Linked DNA regions of Arabidopsis thaliana. The protein of the gene in region 3 interacts with the protein of the main gene of each other region in a pairwise test. Each region holds a gene or a part of one and is shown on either strand. Other genes may lie near its edges.

The links. Proteins that work in one complex are often made in the same cells at the same time.
Region 1: the proteins of ARCK1 (region 3) and AT2G39100 interact in a two-hybrid assay, tested with the Arabidopsis thaliana proteins (one large-scale study listed by BioGRID).
Region 2: the proteins of ARCK1 (region 3) and AT5G08650 interact in a two-hybrid assay, tested with the Arabidopsis thaliana proteins (one large-scale study listed by BioGRID).

The regions. Positions count from the first base shown.
Region 1 is NC_003071.7:16,315,399-16,320,149, reverse strand, and holds AT2G39100 (RING/U-box superfamily protein), read right to left. Parts: upstream 2,795-4,751; 5' UTR 2,689-2,794; coding exon 2,318-2,688; intron 2,238-2,317; coding exon 2,100-2,237; intron 1,993-2,099; coding exon 1,938-1,992; intron 1,799-1,937; coding exon 1,542-1,798; intron 1,351-1,541; coding exon 1,281-1,350; 3' UTR 1,263-1,280; intron 1,156-1,262; 3' UTR 763-1,155; downstream 1-762. Other genes in the region: AT2G39110 (Protein kinase superfamily protein), read right to left, coding at 1-121, 362-380; APC7 (tetratricopeptide repeat (TPR)-containing protein), read left to right, coding at 2,917-2,985, 3,096-3,164, 3,256-3,306, 3,584-3,718, 3,814-3,876, 4,318-4,427, 4,552-4,636.
Region 2 is NC_003076.8:2,807,341-2,815,805, forward strand, and holds the start of AT5G08650 (Small GTP-binding protein), read right to left. Parts: upstream 6,263-8,465; 5' UTR 5,881-6,262; coding exon 5,641-5,880; intron 5,545-5,640; coding exon 5,368-5,544; intron 5,270-5,367; coding exon 5,183-5,269; intron 4,984-5,182; coding exon 4,927-4,983; intron 4,767-4,926; coding exon 4,701-4,766; intron 4,265-4,700; coding exon 4,202-4,264; intron 3,848-4,201; coding exon 3,803-3,847; intron 3,700-3,802; coding exon 3,599-3,699; intron 3,337-3,598; coding exon 3,240-3,336; intron 2,998-3,239; coding exon 2,926-2,997; intron 2,455-2,925; coding exon 2,300-2,454; intron 2,217-2,299; coding exon 2,159-2,216; intron 1,875-2,158; coding exon 1,794-1,874; intron 1,565-1,793; coding exon 1,478-1,564; intron 1,359-1,477; coding exon 1,287-1,358; intron 1,197-1,286; coding exon 1,062-1,196; intron 952-1,061; coding exon 878-951; intron 493-877; coding exon 405-492; intron 87-404; coding exon 9-86; intron 1-8. Other genes in the region: AT5G08660 (D-lactate dehydrogenase (DUF668)), read left to right, coding at 7,186-7,494, 7,638-7,951, 8,038-8,130, 8,225-8,315. UniProt on the Arabidopsis thaliana protein: Promotes chloroplast protein synthesis. May act as a fidelity factor of the translation reaction, by catalyzing a one-codon backward translocation of tRNAs on improperly translocated ribosomes.
Region 3 is NC_003075.7:7,146,045-7,150,751, forward strand, and holds ARCK1 (Protein kinase superfamily protein), read left to right. Parts: upstream 1-2,079; 5' UTR 2,080-2,224; coding exon 2,225-2,294; intron 2,295-2,341; exon of another isoform or gene 2,342-2,385; coding exon 2,386-2,483; intron 2,484-2,570; coding exon 2,571-2,781; intron 2,782-2,872; coding exon 2,873-3,110; intron 3,111-3,203; coding exon 3,204-3,342; intron 3,343-3,419; coding exon 3,420-3,728; 3' UTR 3,729-3,881; downstream 3,882-4,707. Other genes in the region: AGL14 (AGAMOUS-like 14), read left to right, coding at 1-24, 128-227, 593-634, 748-789, 909-1,064; AT4G11900 (S-locus lectin protein kinase family protein), read right to left, coding at 4,197-4,487, 4,586-4,707. UniProt on the Arabidopsis thaliana protein: Forms a complex with CRK36 that may negatively control abscisic acid (ABA) and osmotic stress signal transduction.

The DNA of each region.
Region 1 (4,751 bases), on a different chromosome or scaffold from region 3:
CCTGATCCTCCTCTAGCCATCGTAGCTGAACCAAACTTTCTAGTCTTAGCTTCATCATCCTGAGTTTTGTCTTTGCTGAAGTAGAAACATTTCATTGCCTTAGATGAAACCAGCCTCTTCACTATCCAAACCAGGTCCACATTCCAAGTCAACACAAACAGAAACACGATCAGAGATGAATTAACAGAGATAATCACCAATCATTCAATCCATACCAGATATCAAGTTATCAACACAAAAATCATCACATTTCAACTAGATTCCCTGACATTTGGAAGAATGTAGAACAAAAATCGATATACAACACAAAAGTAGAAATGTGGTAAGAGTGTTGAGAATCAGAAAGGGAAAGAGAAGAAACCTGATGTAGAATTATTCATGAGGATGAATGGAATGCTGTGATGGGGGTCTTCATGATCATGATTGAGAGAGCTTTAAAGCAAAAGAAAATGGTAGAGAAAGAGATAAGAGGAGAAGAGAGAAGACGAGCTCACCATGATCGAATGGGGGAAGTCAAATAGGCAATGGCAGCTGGATTGCCGCTTACCAACCTATAGAAGAAGCCTTTTATAATATTTTATTTTGTGTTACACCCGCTTGCTTACTTATATCAATCAATACCTTAATAGAGAACGCGTTGTTTATTAAAAAAATTTCCCCGTGTATATTCACCATTTAATCTTTAAGGTACGGTTTAGAAGAGAAATTCAAATGAACTTTCCTCTTCTATGGAAGCTTCGTGTAATTTATCTAAAACTATGTATAGTTTTAATTTATTAAAAATTGATAGTCAAATTATAGAAAATATTTAATGTTGTTGAAATAGGTGGTACTCGAAACGTAAGAAAAAATGATGAGGTGAGGAAAAGCGTTGGAAAGAAACTTTGGGGGTGAGAATTTTTGGTATAGAAGAGACGTACATTATGGAAGTAGAGAGACTAAGTGTCAGCTATTTGAGAATCCACCTATAGCTATCTCAAAACTAACTCCACACCTAAACTTGCATCATCTCAACATCTTCCTCCTACCTACTCTTTAACTCTTGGTTTCTCTTACTTGGTCCAGTCTTTCCACTATTGAACTTCCAAGACACCAACAGTCGCGTTGTAAGTCTGTCTATTTACTTCATTTGACGAGAGCATAGTGCTCGGTTATCTGCAAGCGAATACAACATAATGACTTCAGAAAAAAAACCATCGAAGCAAAACAGGTTCCTACTTAGTGAAACCAAACCCACATAATACATATCCTAATTTCTTTACCTGTTTTTTTTACTGCTATTACTCCACCTCATTGTATTCAACCACTGCATCATAAGTCTCCATCGTGAGTATACTCTCCGCAAAACATCTGAAAAATGTTTTCTTTCTCATCAGAAATAGTATATGACCAAAAAACCTAAACCAAACAGATATCAGCTCTATCATCTGTTCAGACTTACAAGTCACTAGGTTTAGGTTGCCTATGTGTTTTCTGTACTACTATACTAAACCTGTAACTACTTGAAACTCTGAAAAAACCCTAGCGTATAAAAATCTTACCTTAGTTCATGCCAAAATATATCCACCTTATCAGACAAGAATTTTCGAAGAGAGGAGACTTCATCTTCCACCAACATCCCGGTCTGCCCGGTTTGTCGATTATTCTCTCTCTCAAGCCTTTTGATGAAAAGAGCTGACGCAAAATGAACAATAACTGAGGGATCAGGATCTCCAAGGACTGCCTGAAGCTCTCTTCTAATCCATGGCTCAATTCTTTCAGTTATCTTTGCTTTGGTGTAATCATTCACCGCCAAACTCTACAATAATCCAAGATGACACAACGAAGCAGGTATATATAAGGCTTCCAATGTGAACATATATCCAATAATGTAAGAGTGTAAACCCCAATACTACAAACATCAAACAGAGAAGAACACATTGTATAATGAAACTTACTAGTTCCAAGCGCCTTGAATGTAATCGAACAGCTCGTAATTGCTTAGTGTATATGCTGTATTTAGAGCCAACACTAGTTAGAAACAACGGCGAACTAATCTAACACTTCGAAAAAGGAGATTGCAAATGAAGCTATAGAGTTAGAATCAATAGTAAACCAACCTAGCTCGCCACTGAAGCTTTCGCTGGAAGATAACAGAATCAGGAACTGAACCTGGTCGTCCAAATGATCTCCGCCATGGCAATGGCCTTGATCTTGAGCTAGAGTTTTCCAAAACATCCCTCGACCTTTGAATTATCCTAATGAAATAATAACCAAGTGAATATAATAAAGAAGTGATTTTTAACTTCATAGAGAGGATCTTAGAGAGAGAGATAACCTCCGGCGATCGGAAGGATTATTCCGATGATAAGTTAAAGTCTCACGATCACGAAGAATTGGTAATTGCTCCTTATGGTATTTTCTAGAAGCAAAATCACTAACGATAAACCAGGAATCAAAACGAGTGTTACAAAGAGGACAATTCCTCTTGAAGCTGCTCCACTTCCGAATACAAGCAAGGCAGTATCCGTGCTTGCACACCGTGATCACGGCGGCGGATCTTCGCTCGGTTAGATTTTCGAGGCATATCGGACACGATTTCCCCTGTAAAGCAGGAAATATTGCTCTCCCTGCAAATTTCGCGATACTTTCCGGCGATCGAAGATGTCTCGAAGACGAAGGCGCCGTGGAGGACGGTAATGGAGGCATGACCGGAGATAGAGATTGTTCGGTGAAGTCGGGCTCTTGGAAAAGTCGGGTTTTAATGAACCGAGATGGATTTCAGATAGATAACCGGTTAATGTCGGTTTGGGTTGACTCGGTTCGAGATTTCTTGTTTCAAAATGAAGAGCGAGCGTGAAGGATCTTTTACTTCATCGCTGCTCCGAAGAAAAAACTTCACCATTGCCACTAACGACGAACTCTCTTGTCTCTGAAATGGAGGTTCCAAAGGAGCAGATCGCGACTTTAATAGAGCATGGGCTTTACGATTCTGCTGAAATGCTCGTAACTTCTCTAGCTTTTAGCTCATTTTGATTGTCTATCTCTTTTTTTCTAAATCCCTAGTTTTCATCAAGAGCTAATGAAATTCTCTCTATATATGCAACTAAATCCAGGGCTGCTTTCTCGTTTCTTCTCCTACTGTTAGTGCCGAAACTAGTCCTCAGCTCAAGGCGGAGAATTTGGTTAAGCTTCTTTCTCCGTCGATATTTTCTATTTTAGTAGCTGCTGAGTCCGTTAGATTGAAGTTAGATTCTTTCTGTGTTTTTTAATCAGATTCTACTGGGTGATGCTTTATTTCATCAGAGAGAACACCGGAGAGCTATTGTAAGTTCTCAAAAGTTTCATTCTTTATGTTTCTCTTTTGCTGTGAAGGAAATGTTACTCAGTTCTCGATAGTTTAGTTCTGCCTCAAATTTGAACTCTATAAATCATTCTCGGAACTTGAATTTGACTGGATTATGATAAAATTGTAAAGATTCTGATTATATGAATTTATGGAGTGAGCAGAGATAAGTTTTATATTTGTATTGCTTATTCTTTTCCTGTGGATTACTTTGAAGTCATCTCGAAATTCTGAATATGTATTCCTTCTTTTTGTCAGCATACGTACAAGCAAGCGTTGCATCATTACACAAGGATTCCGAAGCAAAGCTCCGGTATTTCGAGGAGTTCATTATCTTTATCTACCAGATCATCTGTGAATGCCTCCAGCATTTCTGCTATTAATGAGAACGAGGTAAATAACTGTGTTGCAGTTTCCAGAAAGTGATGTGGTTTGGTTTAATTTCATTGGAGTTCATGTGCATCTTCTTTTTCTAACTTTCCTTTTAGGTGAGATTCAAGATTGCTTCATCTCACTTTGCTCTTAATGAAACAAAAGCTGCGATTGCTGAGGTATGAGTGTCATCTGTTTGTCTGGTTTTCAAGATTTATTTAGTCTTCTGGATTTGTTGGTCTAGAAACTTTGGTATATAGAAAATAAAATATGTGTGTATGAGACGGTAAAAGAGCTGTCTAGGGATTTCTCTATTTCTAAGATTATAGATTGGTTTTGTATAGGATGACTTTTATGTCTTGCTATTGTATTTTATAACCAGAGTTAAGTAACTGTAATTTCAGTGAAACATTCTTGGGCCGTAACTAATGCATTGTTATAGTATTCCTGAATGTGAGTTGAATTTTGTTGCGTTGACCTGCTCCCATCAATGCAAATCCATATTACAAAACAAGTAAACTAATTGGATTCCTTCCAACACTGCATGTAGGTATTAGGGATGATAAAGCCATGGTCTGCTTAGCTATAATCTATTTTTGCACTTGTTATTTCTTTGCCAGATGGAATCTGTCAAGACCAGGAGCTTAGAGATGAATATACTGATGGCAAAGCTTCATCGAAATTCTGGATACAACCGTGGTGCTATTGCTTTTTATAAAGAGTGTTTAAGGTCTGTTTTTCGTTTTCTTTCCCAACATTTCCTAGCATAGAAACACTGTTATAATATCTCACTTTTTACGTTAAATACCAATTCAACACATAGTAAACATATATATAATCTTTAATCTCTGCAGGCAGTGTCCTTATGTACTTGAAGCCGTCATAGGTTTAGCTGAACTGGGAGTTAGTGCAAAGGATATCATATCATCGTTTACTCAGGTGTCCCTTTCTACGAGATTTCTTTCACCACTTCTTCAAATGTGTTTTGCACCTCTTTCTCTCTATTTTGCAATTACCTTTTCTGTGTGAAATCCATACAACTTTGTAATTTGTT
Region 2 (8,465 bases), on a different chromosome or scaffold from region 3:
ATATATACCTGGATGGGCACTTTAAACATTTGTCGTGGAATAAGCTCTTTGAGTTTCTGAGTCAAAGCTCTCCCAACGGAATATGCCTGGAATCACAGTACAAAACGATTCCACAATACTGTGAGGACAAGATATAAATCATTGCTAAATCGTGAGAGATGTACTAATCTCTGCCGTAAGAGCTTTAAGCTAATGGGAACAGTTCTACAAAACTTTACAATCAGAGATGTGTAAAAGATAGTTGGCAGCGCCTCGTGTTTCCATCAATCTACTTATCCAAACTTTTTGGGCAAGTGAAATTGTATCAATGAGATTGCTGAACCAAATTTTTGTATTCAGGTGTAAGAGTGCGTATGTATGCTGTATTCATAAAAGTTCATATTAAAGAGCTTAAGCAAAATAACCTTATCCCTGTGTACGATGGTTGACAAAGGTTCCACCATTTCAGCATTAATCAGAATATCGAGTTTTATCAGATCACTTTCCCTGTACCTGCTCACATATTACAAGACAAAAAAAAAAAGTTGAATACCTTAAGATGGTAAGAAAGACATCAAAAAGAGCAAAAGAAACATATTATGTATTAAGCTTAAATGGAAACTGACGAAGCTGAGTAGTTAACTTGTATAAAGAAGGGCTACCAAATTTAACGATAGAGAGCAACACGATAATTAACCTGATTGAAATTGATCTGATGCTGCTAAGCAAATATATATATTTTAGATACTTGTTTATCACTTTGGGATTACTATGAAAAGAATATAGATTCTTATCTTCACAAAAAAGCTGACGCATTTCTTTGTTAATCAACAAAAATAGAAGGCAAGCATCACAAAGTAAGAGAAAGATCTGTGTATTAAAAGTTGAAAGATCTAACCCAATAACGGAGTATTCCATGCTAGCATATCCCTTGGTTCTCGACTTCAATTGGTCAAAGAAATCACCCACCATCTGCAAAATGGCAGGGAGCGATTAACAAGAAGATCAGTTTACATAATCAAGAGAGACATGGCTAAACTTTCATTGGGGTTATCTTAACTCTGCACAAGCAGAGATCTCACCTCTGCAAGAGGTAACTCATAGAGGATTGAAGCTCTGTTCTCAGCTATATATTTCATTTCTTTGAACTCCCCTCTCCTCTCTTGAGCGAGCTCCATAAGCGCACCAATATAGTCTTTTGGTGTGAGCAGTTCAATCTGTATAAAATGGTTTTGCAGTAAGGAAATGTAATTCTACGAAATGTGGTGTGTGAACTTATCAGCAATATCTCCAGTAGAAAAGGCAACCTTAACGTATGGCTCCTCGACCGATTTCCTTTGCCCAGGATCTGGAAGGCGTGATGGATTTGAGCACAAAGTCTGCAGTAAAATTGATTTCACAGGTAATAAGGCTCTAGATCAAGAAAGAAAGACAAAAGGATGCGATTTTCAGGGAACAAAGAAGAATATTTAAAAGTTTGGGATCAAGAGGAAATTACAGTATCACCATTTACAGAGTTCACCCTATAAACAACACTTGGAGCTGTGGTAATAAGATTTAAGTTGTACTCCCTCTCTAGCCTTTCCTGTGAAGAAGAGTGAACTGGAGCGTAAGAACAAAGAATGATATAATTCACTTTGTTGAGTATAATTTATGGCGGGTATCTATCGGGGAGGAAACTGTAAATAAGTAAAATACTAACAGATAACTCAGTATCTATGAATTTCTTTTCTCTATCTTCTGTTGCATAGGAAATTTTCAGTCAGAGACGCACCAAAAACACTTTAGAACAAGAAGAGCGAAACATATCTGACCTGCACAATTTCCATGTGGAGAAGACCCAAAAACCCGCATCTAAAGCCAAATCCCATGGCACTCGAAGTTTCAGGCTCAAACTGCAGGATAAAAACCAAGTTGAGGACAAACCTATAGATATGTTAATGCTAACGTATACGCTCCTTAGACCAAATGTGAATATTTTTAACAAAGATACATACAATAGAGGACTGAAGACCAGTTCTTTGCAAAACACAATTTTACTTTCCAATTCGAAGCCAACTGGGCATAAACATACATTGGCTAAGTAAGCATACGAAGACCATAGTTGTTTCGTCCGTGCAAATTATTCTGGGTACAGATGAAAGAAAAATGTTGTTTCTGTCATTTAATTCTACTATACCTTCAATGCAGCATCATTGAGTTGCAGTTTTTCCAATGCATCGCGAAGATCGGGAAACCTGCCATCATAGACCAGGTGTGAAAAAAAAAAATACAAAATGAAAAAGCAAAAAGTCAACAATGAAAAACAAAAACTCAGTACTGGTCAGCGTCAACTGGAAAAAGACCACAGAACACCATAGGGGTAGCTTCCTCGTAACCAGGTAAAGAGCTTTCTGCCTTTCTGCTATAATGTGTTATTGTATCTCCTACCCTGGCATCTGCAACAGATCTTACAGAAGCCGCAATATATCCTACCTGTATTTAAGGACAGTAACCTTTAAAATATGTGCAAGAAATGTGGCATGATATTCAGGCATATCTGATATACACCAGCAGCATCAATCAGTGCTAAAAACATCTTTCTAGCTATTAGAACTTGAGCAAGGGAAGATGCAACTAACCATTTCTTCTCAAATATAGCCAAACAAGAAAAGTGAAAACATATTTGTTTCATTGCATTCAAATTGTTATTAACCACAACTCTATCTTCTGCCAAAGCTGCTACAAGGAAATGCTAAGAAAATCCTTCCATTTACAAACGCTTTTAGTTTTCCTATTAACATGTGTTGGAATAGAACGGCGGAAACTGCAAAAGAATACTGACATTTTCATTTCATAATACCAAGGTTTCTGCTGAAAGAAAAAAATTCAACAAGAAAATGGGACATGGATGCACAGGAAAGTAAACAAAACAAACAAAATATTATGTTCAAAAGAGTACACTACCTCACCCGCATATAATTCATCCACTTGAATTTGATTTGGAGATAGAACTCCGACTTCATCCGCAAAATAATCCTGCAATTGATGCAAAACTGAGAACATGAAGGATACTAGTGAAACACAAGTAAGCGTTCTTAAAAGCTTAAACATTCTCAAATTTTTCCTGAAAGAATTATAGAATAACACTTCACATCGCTTTATTCAAATAGACCGCGAAAACCTATCTCATGCACAAATTACATTCAATTCATTATTGGCAAATGGAAAGCTATCTCGATTAAATAGAAAGACAGTACAGTAGAGTAAAAGAGATAAACCTTTCCGCTTGCCATGAAAAAAATTCTGTCGCCTTTCTTCACTTTCCCATCGATAACTCGAAAGTATACAATGACACCACGATATGGATCATAATAACTGCAGCAAAATGAATTTTGGACGAAAAATATAAAGTAGTTCACATATAAAAACTGCACACTTGTAGACTAATCAAGCAAAACAAACACGAGTATTTCACACTCATTTTTAGTTCACCAGTGATTAACTGGTACTGACTTGACATGCCAATGATCAGTCCAATCATTATATACGAATACAACTTCGACTCCAAGACTCAATTTCATACTGTTTTCTCTAGAAAAGGCAAAAATCGTTATGAATAAAAACAACAAGTGCAAACCTGTCAAAAATTAAAGCTCTTAAGGGCTTTCCTGCAGTATCGAGAGGTGCAGGTATCCTTTGAACAATTGCATCCAAAATCTCGGTAATACCAATTCCCTCCTGCGTGTATATATTATTCCCCAAAAATTGTAATTGAATGGATAGAAAGCCACACGTCTTAATTTTTGGGTAGCAGAATAGCAAAACAATTTTAAAATCTAACCTTTGCCGAACAGAATATCGCTTTGCTACAATCTAACCCAATAACCTACAAACAATATGAATTATCAATCAGTGTTCACATAAAGGCTGATGTCTCTGAAATTGCAGCAATGAGACAATTACCCCATTCGAGGAACATGAGACTGGATCATAATATCACAAAGAAAATGTTTAAAGCATAAAAGAATGTACCGCAATAATCAACATAATATCTAATACTAGAAGCTAGAACCTTGTAAAATGTCAAGATAACATATTGACAACAGAAAAATAAAAGACTGAAGAGTTTTTGCAGACACCCAAAAAGGAATACTGTTCAAATTATTACTGGTTGCATTGTATGATTGCTATTGAATACGAACATCATAAAATGGGTAACACAATGAACATAATCACCAACCTCCTCAATCTCCCTGAGAACTTTCTCTGGCTCAGCGCCTGGAAGGTCAATCTTATTTAAAACCTGCAGGAAGAAGTAGAGTTCATTTGCTTTAAACTCTGGTATGCAGACCAAATATTTGAAAGAAGAATAAACCACCTTACATTATTATTTCCTGTATAGTCATGAATCAGGTTGAAGCAATAATGAAACGTTAAATGATATAATCATTTTATCCTAGACTAGCTATTCTTTTCTTTACTACGCATCTTCTATGTACTGCCAGAGTGATACTACCTATTTTTTTTAACATATTTGCCTTGTTTGAAAGTTAACTTATTGCAGACTCCGACTTCTTTTAAATAAAACGACATTGACATTTTTAAATAATCTTCCATGGAGATGAGACGAAGGAAAGAATGATGATAACTACCACATATAGTTGAAATGTGATTTGTTAAAAGGAATGATGATAACTAGCACATATAGCTAATAAGATGAAGCATAATTCCGTACTTACGGGAATAATTTCGAGGTTGTTTTCCAAGGCCAAATACACATTAGCCAATGTTTGTGCTTCCACACCCTAAAGCACATGATAGAGGAAGTTTAAGTTTTTCAGTAATGTAAGTATGTAACCATCAGAAAAGAACGAAATTACCAAGCGAAAAAACGGCATAAACAATACAGATTCCAGGTTTCCACAGCGTGTCAGAAAATTGTATGTCAAGAGAAAGAAAAATCACCTGGGATGCATCCACAACAAGAAGAGCACCCTCGCAAGCAGCAAGAGATCGGGAAACCTATGTACAAATAAACAGTGCATTCTTCATCAAAACTGCAACTTAATAGTTTGTGTATATTCCTAACTGTAAAAAAAATTACGCTTTTAGGTGATATATAACACTCAAACCAAGTAACTTCTCACATATGAAAAATAACTATAAGGCTAAGCTTCAAATGTATCCGTAGACAATAAGTAGATTAGAATATTGTAAGTACCTCGTAAGAGAAATCAACATGACCTGGAGTATCTATCAAGTTGAGGCAAAACGGTGTATCTTCATAAACATAACGCATTCGAGCTGCCTACACAAACATACACCGCAAAGTTACAAATCAGACCGTTGAGCAATCTTATCGAAACTGATTTTTGATTGTGCAGAGAAAGCGATTGAAAGAAAAACCTGAAGCTTGATAGTGATGCCTCGTTCTCTCTCTAAGTCCATGTTATCAAGAAACTGCTCCTTCATATCTCTGTTCTGAACAGTACCAGTCACCTGAAGCAACTTATCCGCTAACGTAGATTTCCCATGATCAATATGAGCTATAATACTAAAATTCCTGATGTTCGAAATTGGAACCTGCGAATTTCATAACAAATTCAGTTTCAAAAAAAATCCAAATTCTTCTCAAGTTTCGGCACACGGATGAAGAGAGAGAACAAAACAGAACCCGACCTTCAAAAGACGGTCTTGACCAGAACGGGCGGCTAATTTGGAGCCAGAGACAGAGAGACCGCTCTGAGGCTCAGTTCCAGCTGTGGCTTGGCAAAGTATCTGTAACTTCCGATTAGAGTGACGGCGGAATCCAGAGACGGAAATGGAGGAGAGACGACGGAGAGATGGGGAAGATGTAGAAGTTCCGGATAAGAAAAACGTTGGAGGAGAAGATAAGTCCATAGCAGAAGCCATGGCCATGGCACTGTCTAAGCTCTCTACACCTCTCTCTACTGTTTTGAGAGAAATTCAAAGTATCCTGAGCCACAGACTATGTAACTGGGCCACTGTATCCAATTGGGCCTGTCCATCGGATTCTAACCCACCCGACCCGATTCGATCCAAATCTGTTTTCTTAAAATAACGAATTTGTTTTGTGTGAATTAAACCGAAATTAGACCACAAATTTAATGAAACTGAACAAGATCAAATAAATTGATTTTAAATCAGATAATTCTAAACCCAAAAATATTCGAAGTAGAACATCAAATGTCAAAAAACATAGAAATAAGCTTTTTGTTCAATATTGTTGTGCTATGATTTGATTCGATGAACCAGAAATCATGCATTTTGAGAATATAAGACTCTTTTTTATTCAATGATGAGTTGATTAGTGTTTAATCATTTCTTATATAAGATCTTCACATGCCTTTTAAGACTAATTTAATCCCTATGAAAAGTCCTAACCTTTTAGCGCAATTTCGGTTTAGAAGTAAGAGGAGTGAGGGATTGAAAGTAAAGATGAGTTTTTTACTTGCACGGAATGTAAAAAGACAGAGCACAAAATGAGTCAATGGCGTGGTAATAAGGGACGATTTGACCAATCCATCACCGCCTGTGACTCTTTTTATTAACATGGAGTGTGAGGAGATTAAAAGAAAAAAGGTTTAGACTTTTCTTCGTTTGTTTCTTTATCAAGCTGGTTGTTTCAATTTGGCTTTAGCTGATGCCAATTTGGTGTGGTCCAATCTCTCTTTTAATTTTTGTTTTTCTGATTTCTTCCTTCGTTCCTAGTTCATACTACTCTCCTTGACTTTCTCCTTTTTAACATCAATTCTCTCGTGTTCGAGGTTCCTTTGTCTCTTTTGTCTTTTCACTGTTGTGTGTCGTGAATCCCAAGCTCTATACCTCCGAAATTGGCTTGGCCCAAGTCTTTTCTGGTCTTTTTCTCTACTGGGTAAGTCTTCTTCTTCGCATTCCTCTCCTCAAAATACGATCTTGCTTAGGTTTTTTGGAGAAAGAAGACTTGCACAGTGTTTGACTTAAAGGCTTTTACTTCGTGAACGGCTTTGGCTTTATGTGAATCTGTTAATTTCCCCCAAGGCGATTACAATGTCTTAAACTATTTCGGACACGATCCTATCTCTGTGTTACTAATTTAGTTTGGAAGATTTGGTCTCCTTGAGTCTCTTGATCTGACTTTTTCCTTTGTTCTAGGTTATTACTCTTCCCCACAGTGGCATGATCTTTTCGATAACTTAGCTTAAAGGTCTTTGGAAAAGAGTTATGGGGAGTTTTTGCTCCAAGAGCCTTGGAATCAATTTTGGCAGCGAGTATTCTGGTTCTAGTGTGGCTGATGATGGTCGAGAACCTGATTTTGGCCACTCACAACCAAATGGGCAAACCAGTTTGATTGTTCCTGGTATGAGGCAGCTTATGGTTAAAGACGTCAAGGAACAAAATCAATTAAAAGATGTTTTCTCTTTCCGCGAAAGGGAAGCTGAAGATAATTTCTATGATGGAATTCCGACGTATACTATGGCTCCATCACAGAAAATTCGGTCTGCAAAATCAACTCAAACCGCTGTTTCAAAGGTTAGTATGGACCAAATGAAGCTCCTTTTTTAGCAACTAAGATTAAGAGTTAAAGCATTGTCTCTTAGTAACGGCAAGTGTCTTTTAAGTTTAGAAGTCCTGAAATGTCGTGAGACCAATCCGAATTTGCTATACTGTGGCAGGTTACAGAGGCAAGTAAGCTTTTAGGCAAAGCGGGGTTAGGTAGAGCAAAAGATGTTTTGGATACCCTTGGAAGTAGCATGACAGATCTTAGTAGCGGTGGATTTACTTCTGGAGTTGCAACTAAAGGCAATGAACTTGGGATCTTAGCTTTTGAAGTAGCAAACACAATTGTCAAAAGCTCAAATCTCATTGAATCCCTTTCTAAGAGGAACATCGAGCATTTAAAAGGAACTATCCTTTATTCTGAGGGTGTTCAAAACCTAGTCTCGAATGATTTCGATGAACTACTCAGACTTGTTGCAGCTGATAAGAGGTGAAAATTTTAGTCTAGACGGCTTCTTTTGTTTTTTCCTAGCTTTTTTAAAACATGGCAAGATAGTTAACTTGATATATTTGCAGGCAGGAGCTGCAAGTTTTCTCGGGGGAAGTGGTTCGGTTTGGAAACCGATCCAAAGATTTTCAGTGGCATAATTTACAGCGCTATTTCGATAGGTAGCTTTATTCAAAATATTTGTACATGGGAGAATGTTAATATTTGTTTGTCTAGCTTTCTTTTAAGCTGCCGAATCGTTTCTTTTGTCCTCAGGATCAGCAAAGAATTAACCCCTCAAAGGCAGTTAAAGGAAGACGCGGTGTTGGTTGTTGACCAACTGATGGTTCTAGTGCAGTATACTGCTGTGAGTGACTACTTTCAAAAATTAGAAACTCTAAAAGCATATTGACTTGTTCTTGCTACTTAGATGTGGTGTTCTGTGCGTTGAGCTATCAGCTATCTTCTTTAGTAGCTGTTTACTTTCGAAAGAATATGTGATAAAAAAAGGGAGGTT
Region 3 (4,707 bases):
CGAACATTTGGAGATTTCGACACGGTTTTTGAACTCAAAATACTTATACGAATATTTTGTTATGAATGTAACGTTTACATTGTAAGCGTCTATTTACCATATGTTTAAAAAATATATACATTTGCAGAAAAATGATGGGAGAAGGACTTGACGCATCTTCTATAGAAGAGTTACAACAATTGGAGAACCAGTTGGACAGAAGCTTAATGAAAATAAGAGCCAAAAAGGTAACTTCTAGATTATTGTATATGTGATCATTTCTTAGTTTTAAAATAAAATCTTCACTCTTATCATATGGTTATTGTTTCATCGAGATTTATGACAATGACGTGGTGGCCGCCTGGTTCGATTATCACAAATGAGTTGATTATGTAAACAATATAAACATGGGATCATCCTATAAACACTCCAAATACACACATACACACACACACACACACACACACACACTTGGAGGCATGCATGCATGCATGCATATGTGTTGAGAAAAGACTTATATGTTATCTTCTTCTTCTTTTTTGTCATCACCTTATATGTTATCTTTAATGAGTCTTTTACCAACTAATTTAGCTATTTAATTCCTTAATTTCAGTACCAGTTATTACGAGAAGAAACTGAGAAATTAAAAGAAAAGGTAACATGTAGCTTTTTTATTAATTTAGTACAAATGTATTGGTCAGGTACTAATCATATTTCCCATAATTAAACGGTTAAACCATATTTCATGGTTTATTGTCAATATTTTAGGAGAGGAACCTCATTGCAGAAAATAAAATGCTGATGGAGAAGGTACAAATTAATATTAACTTACGGGCTGATTTATGTTCTCAATTCTCATTCTATTATTATGAAATTATCTGCTTTTTTTCAAAAAGTGTGTTTTAATTTGAGGAAATGTGTGAATGAAGTGTGAGATGCAAGGAAGAGGAATAATAGGAAGAATATCATCATCATCATCAACATCAGAACTGGATATAGATGACAATGAAATGGAAGTGGTGACTGATTTGTTCATTGGACCTCCTGAGACTCGACACTTCAAAAAGTTTCCTCCTTCAAACTAACATATATAGTACAATGCTTATATAGATATTATGTAGGGAATTACTTTTTTCCCTGAAGAAAAATTGATGTTACTTACTGAATTTAGCAGTTGCATAAAAAAAAAGATTACTGCATTTAAGCTTTGCTTTTTTTTTCTTTTTGTTTTTTTCTTTTGTATCGTCTCACCCAACTTTGCAATCCTAAAATAATTTCAGAATAAATTGTTTAACAGGTTTTTTATTTAACATAATTTTTTCATATCTTTTTAAAAATAATTGTTTAGAATATAACTAATTTGATCGATATATTATATGTTCGGGACAAGTTCTTGGAGAGTGAAAACAAATCCGGGTGCGTAGCTAGGTCGGTTCCCTATAATGGCTTTGCGGATAAGATCTCCATGTTTCATGCTAGACATGAAGATGATGTATGATTTATATACGAATAATGGGTCAGTTGGAAAGATTTTTGAATCCTAGTAGAGGTATGGTCTTTTGAACTCGGGAAAAGTTGCATTGCACCGACCTCTTAAAGTCCTTTTACACTTGGTCTAGACCCAAAAATCGTTGGCTTTCTATGATCGGTCTTTGTCAGCGTGTCATTTACGTGACGTGGTTGGTTTGGTTCGAAATTTCTAAGTAGCTGAAAATTCAGTTCCGTTCCTTCCAAGAACATCATCTTGAAGTAGAATTCTTTGTGACAAACAAAAAAAAATGGTAGAATTCTATGGTTATATATATATATATATATATATATATATATATGTTTATTATAACAACAGACCTAATATCTTCTATGTTTTATGTAATATCTATTTATTTTTTGTTATTTATTGAACCTACATACAAATAAAACAAAACAAAGTAAACTTCTAAATAATATATTTTTCATTTTCATTTTAGTTGAAATATAATTTGATTTTCAATACCAAACTATATAATATCAATATTCAGAATAAGTTAATTGTTACGTATTAAAAACAATGCAAGAACAAATGAAGAAGCCAAAATATCCAAAATGAATAGTAGAAGTCAAGGTCAACATAGTGGACTCTAACAATATCAACGAAGTCAACCGTTGAAGAAATTAAATAACTTGTCTAATAAGTTCTTCTTTTTTCTTGGATTAAATACTTGTTTGAAGCAAATTCAGAGACACTGTCTTCGTCTTCATCTTTGCTATGGCCGTTACTTCGCTTCTCGATACCGTTTTCCGACGTAGAAAGAAGAAGTCTACTGAGTTTATAAGCTGTAAGTATTCATGTTTCTTCTTCTCAAACCTTTTCCTCACATCTGTTACAAAACACACAAAACTATGTTTAATTCTACTTGTCTCTACTAGATACAGCAGTTTTCGAATTCGACTTGGACACCATTAAAGCTGCAACAAATGATTTCTCAGAACTGGTTGGTCGTGGCGGATTTGGTTTTGTTTACAAGGTTTGTTTTTAGTGGTTTCGTACGTTGGTTCGTTTTTAGTGTATGGTAAGAAATTGTAATTAAAACATCCTTTTAAATCATTTTCAGGGTAGGCTTCAAAATGGACAAGAAATAGCAGTCAAGATTTTGTCTACAAGTTCAATTAGAACTGAGAGACAGTTTCATAACGAACTTATTATTTTGTCTAAGCTTAAACACAAGAATCTGATCAATCTTCTTGGTTTCTGCACTAAACGAGACCAACATGGTCTTGTTTACGAGTTCATGCCTAACTCAAGCCTCGATTGTTTTATACTCGGTTAGACAGTTTAAAACAGAGTACCCTTTCCAAATACAATCTAGTCTAGTATCAAGTTCTCATCATTAGTCATTGTGGTAATGTGTTACAGACCCACACAGAGCTGCTCAGCTAAATTGGGAGATGTGCCGAAACATTATTGATGGCATAGCTCGAGGGCTACGTTACCTTCATGAAGAATCCGGGTTATGGGTCGTTCACCGCGACATTAAACCTGGAAACATTCTATTGGATTCAGATTTGAAACCGAAAATAGTGGGATTTGAATTGGCGAGGACGATGCAACAAGGTGAAAACGCAGCTGAAACAACTGAAATTGTCGGTACCGTGTAAGTGAAGTTTTGTGATTTAACATGCTTGAGGGTAAATGTTTTGAAGATGTTTAGAGTGTGATGTATAAAACATTTTTTGATTATCAACAGAGGGTATTTAGATCCGGAGTACATACGAAGCGGACGTGTTTCCGTCAAATCTGACGTTTATGCCTTTGGAGTTACAATCTTGACGATCATTAGCAGAAGGAAGGCTTGGAGTGTGGACGGAGACTCTCTAATCAAATATGTGAGTTTATATTTAAGTAAAAGTTTGTATGATGGTAATTAAGTGGTTCCTTAATCGTATGAATTGTCTTCTTTTAGGTTAGGAGATGCTGGAACAGAGGAGAAGCCATAGATGTGATCCATGAAGTGATGAGGGAAGAAGAAAGAGAATATTCGATAAGCGAAATCTTGAGATACATTCACATTGCTTTGCTATGTGTGGATGAGAATGCTGAGAGAAGGCCGAATATTGATAAAGTTCTGCATTGGTTTAGTTGTTTCTCTACTCCTTTACCTGATCCAACATTTGGTAATAGATTTCTTGTAGAGGAAGAAACAAATTGGCCCTGGTCGCCATCTTTATCTCCTGGTCACAGCTCTGTCACGTCACCCATATCTTCACGTTAAGGAGATTGAGTGCTCTGTTTTATTAGACTGACGAGAGTTTATGATGAAAAGAATTGTTGGTTGATAAGTTCAAGTCGTAATTTGCTATTGTCTTCTTCTTTTTGTGCCCAAATCCAGTAAGACCATTTAGGACGATTCAACAATTATTTGATTACTTTGTTTTCAAATGACAAAGAATAAAATATTTTAAAGAACACTCTCAGCATCACATAAGCAGTTTAAGTAAATACTCTTATCTAATAAATCAGGGGATAACCAAGTGTCGTTAGCTCAATTGGTAAAAACCCTACACGAAGCTTATAGGTCGCCGGTTCGAGTGACACTTGAAACGAAACTAATATTACATGTTGTGGTTTCGGGCCTGGAAGATTACAGGCTTCGGCCCAGAACCTCCTGGTATTAAAAAAAAATAAAAAATAATAATAATTCAGGGGATATAGCAACATTTTTACCAAGTATTGTTAATGTTCATCGCGCTTCCAGTTCTGTTTGCGTTGCTTCGTTTATGGAGAATACGTAGTCTAGCTGTTGATCCCCGTTCAACACGTTTGAGAAAGTTGGTTGTTTCGGAATCGGAAGAGTGTTATCGTTGCTCAACATATAAACGATTTGTGAAATCATGGGTCTATCTTTAGGATGATCTTGAACACAAAGAAGTGCGATATGAATGCACCGCATCGCTTCTTCTAAAGAATACGAACAACACATTGGTTCATCTATAATGCTTACACCTTTTGTTTCACACCAAGATTCCCATTCCTGAAGATGATCAACAACATATAGTTTGGGATTGATCTAAGGTAAGTTACGTTTTTATATATGGTAGATAAATGATATTGAACTATAGAAACACTTACATAAGCAATAAGGCTGTGTTTTTGGTCGTTATGAACAAACCTTGTCGCCTTTTTACCCGATATGATCTCCAATAACAACACTCCAAAGCTGTATATATCCGATTTCTCTGAAATCACTCCAC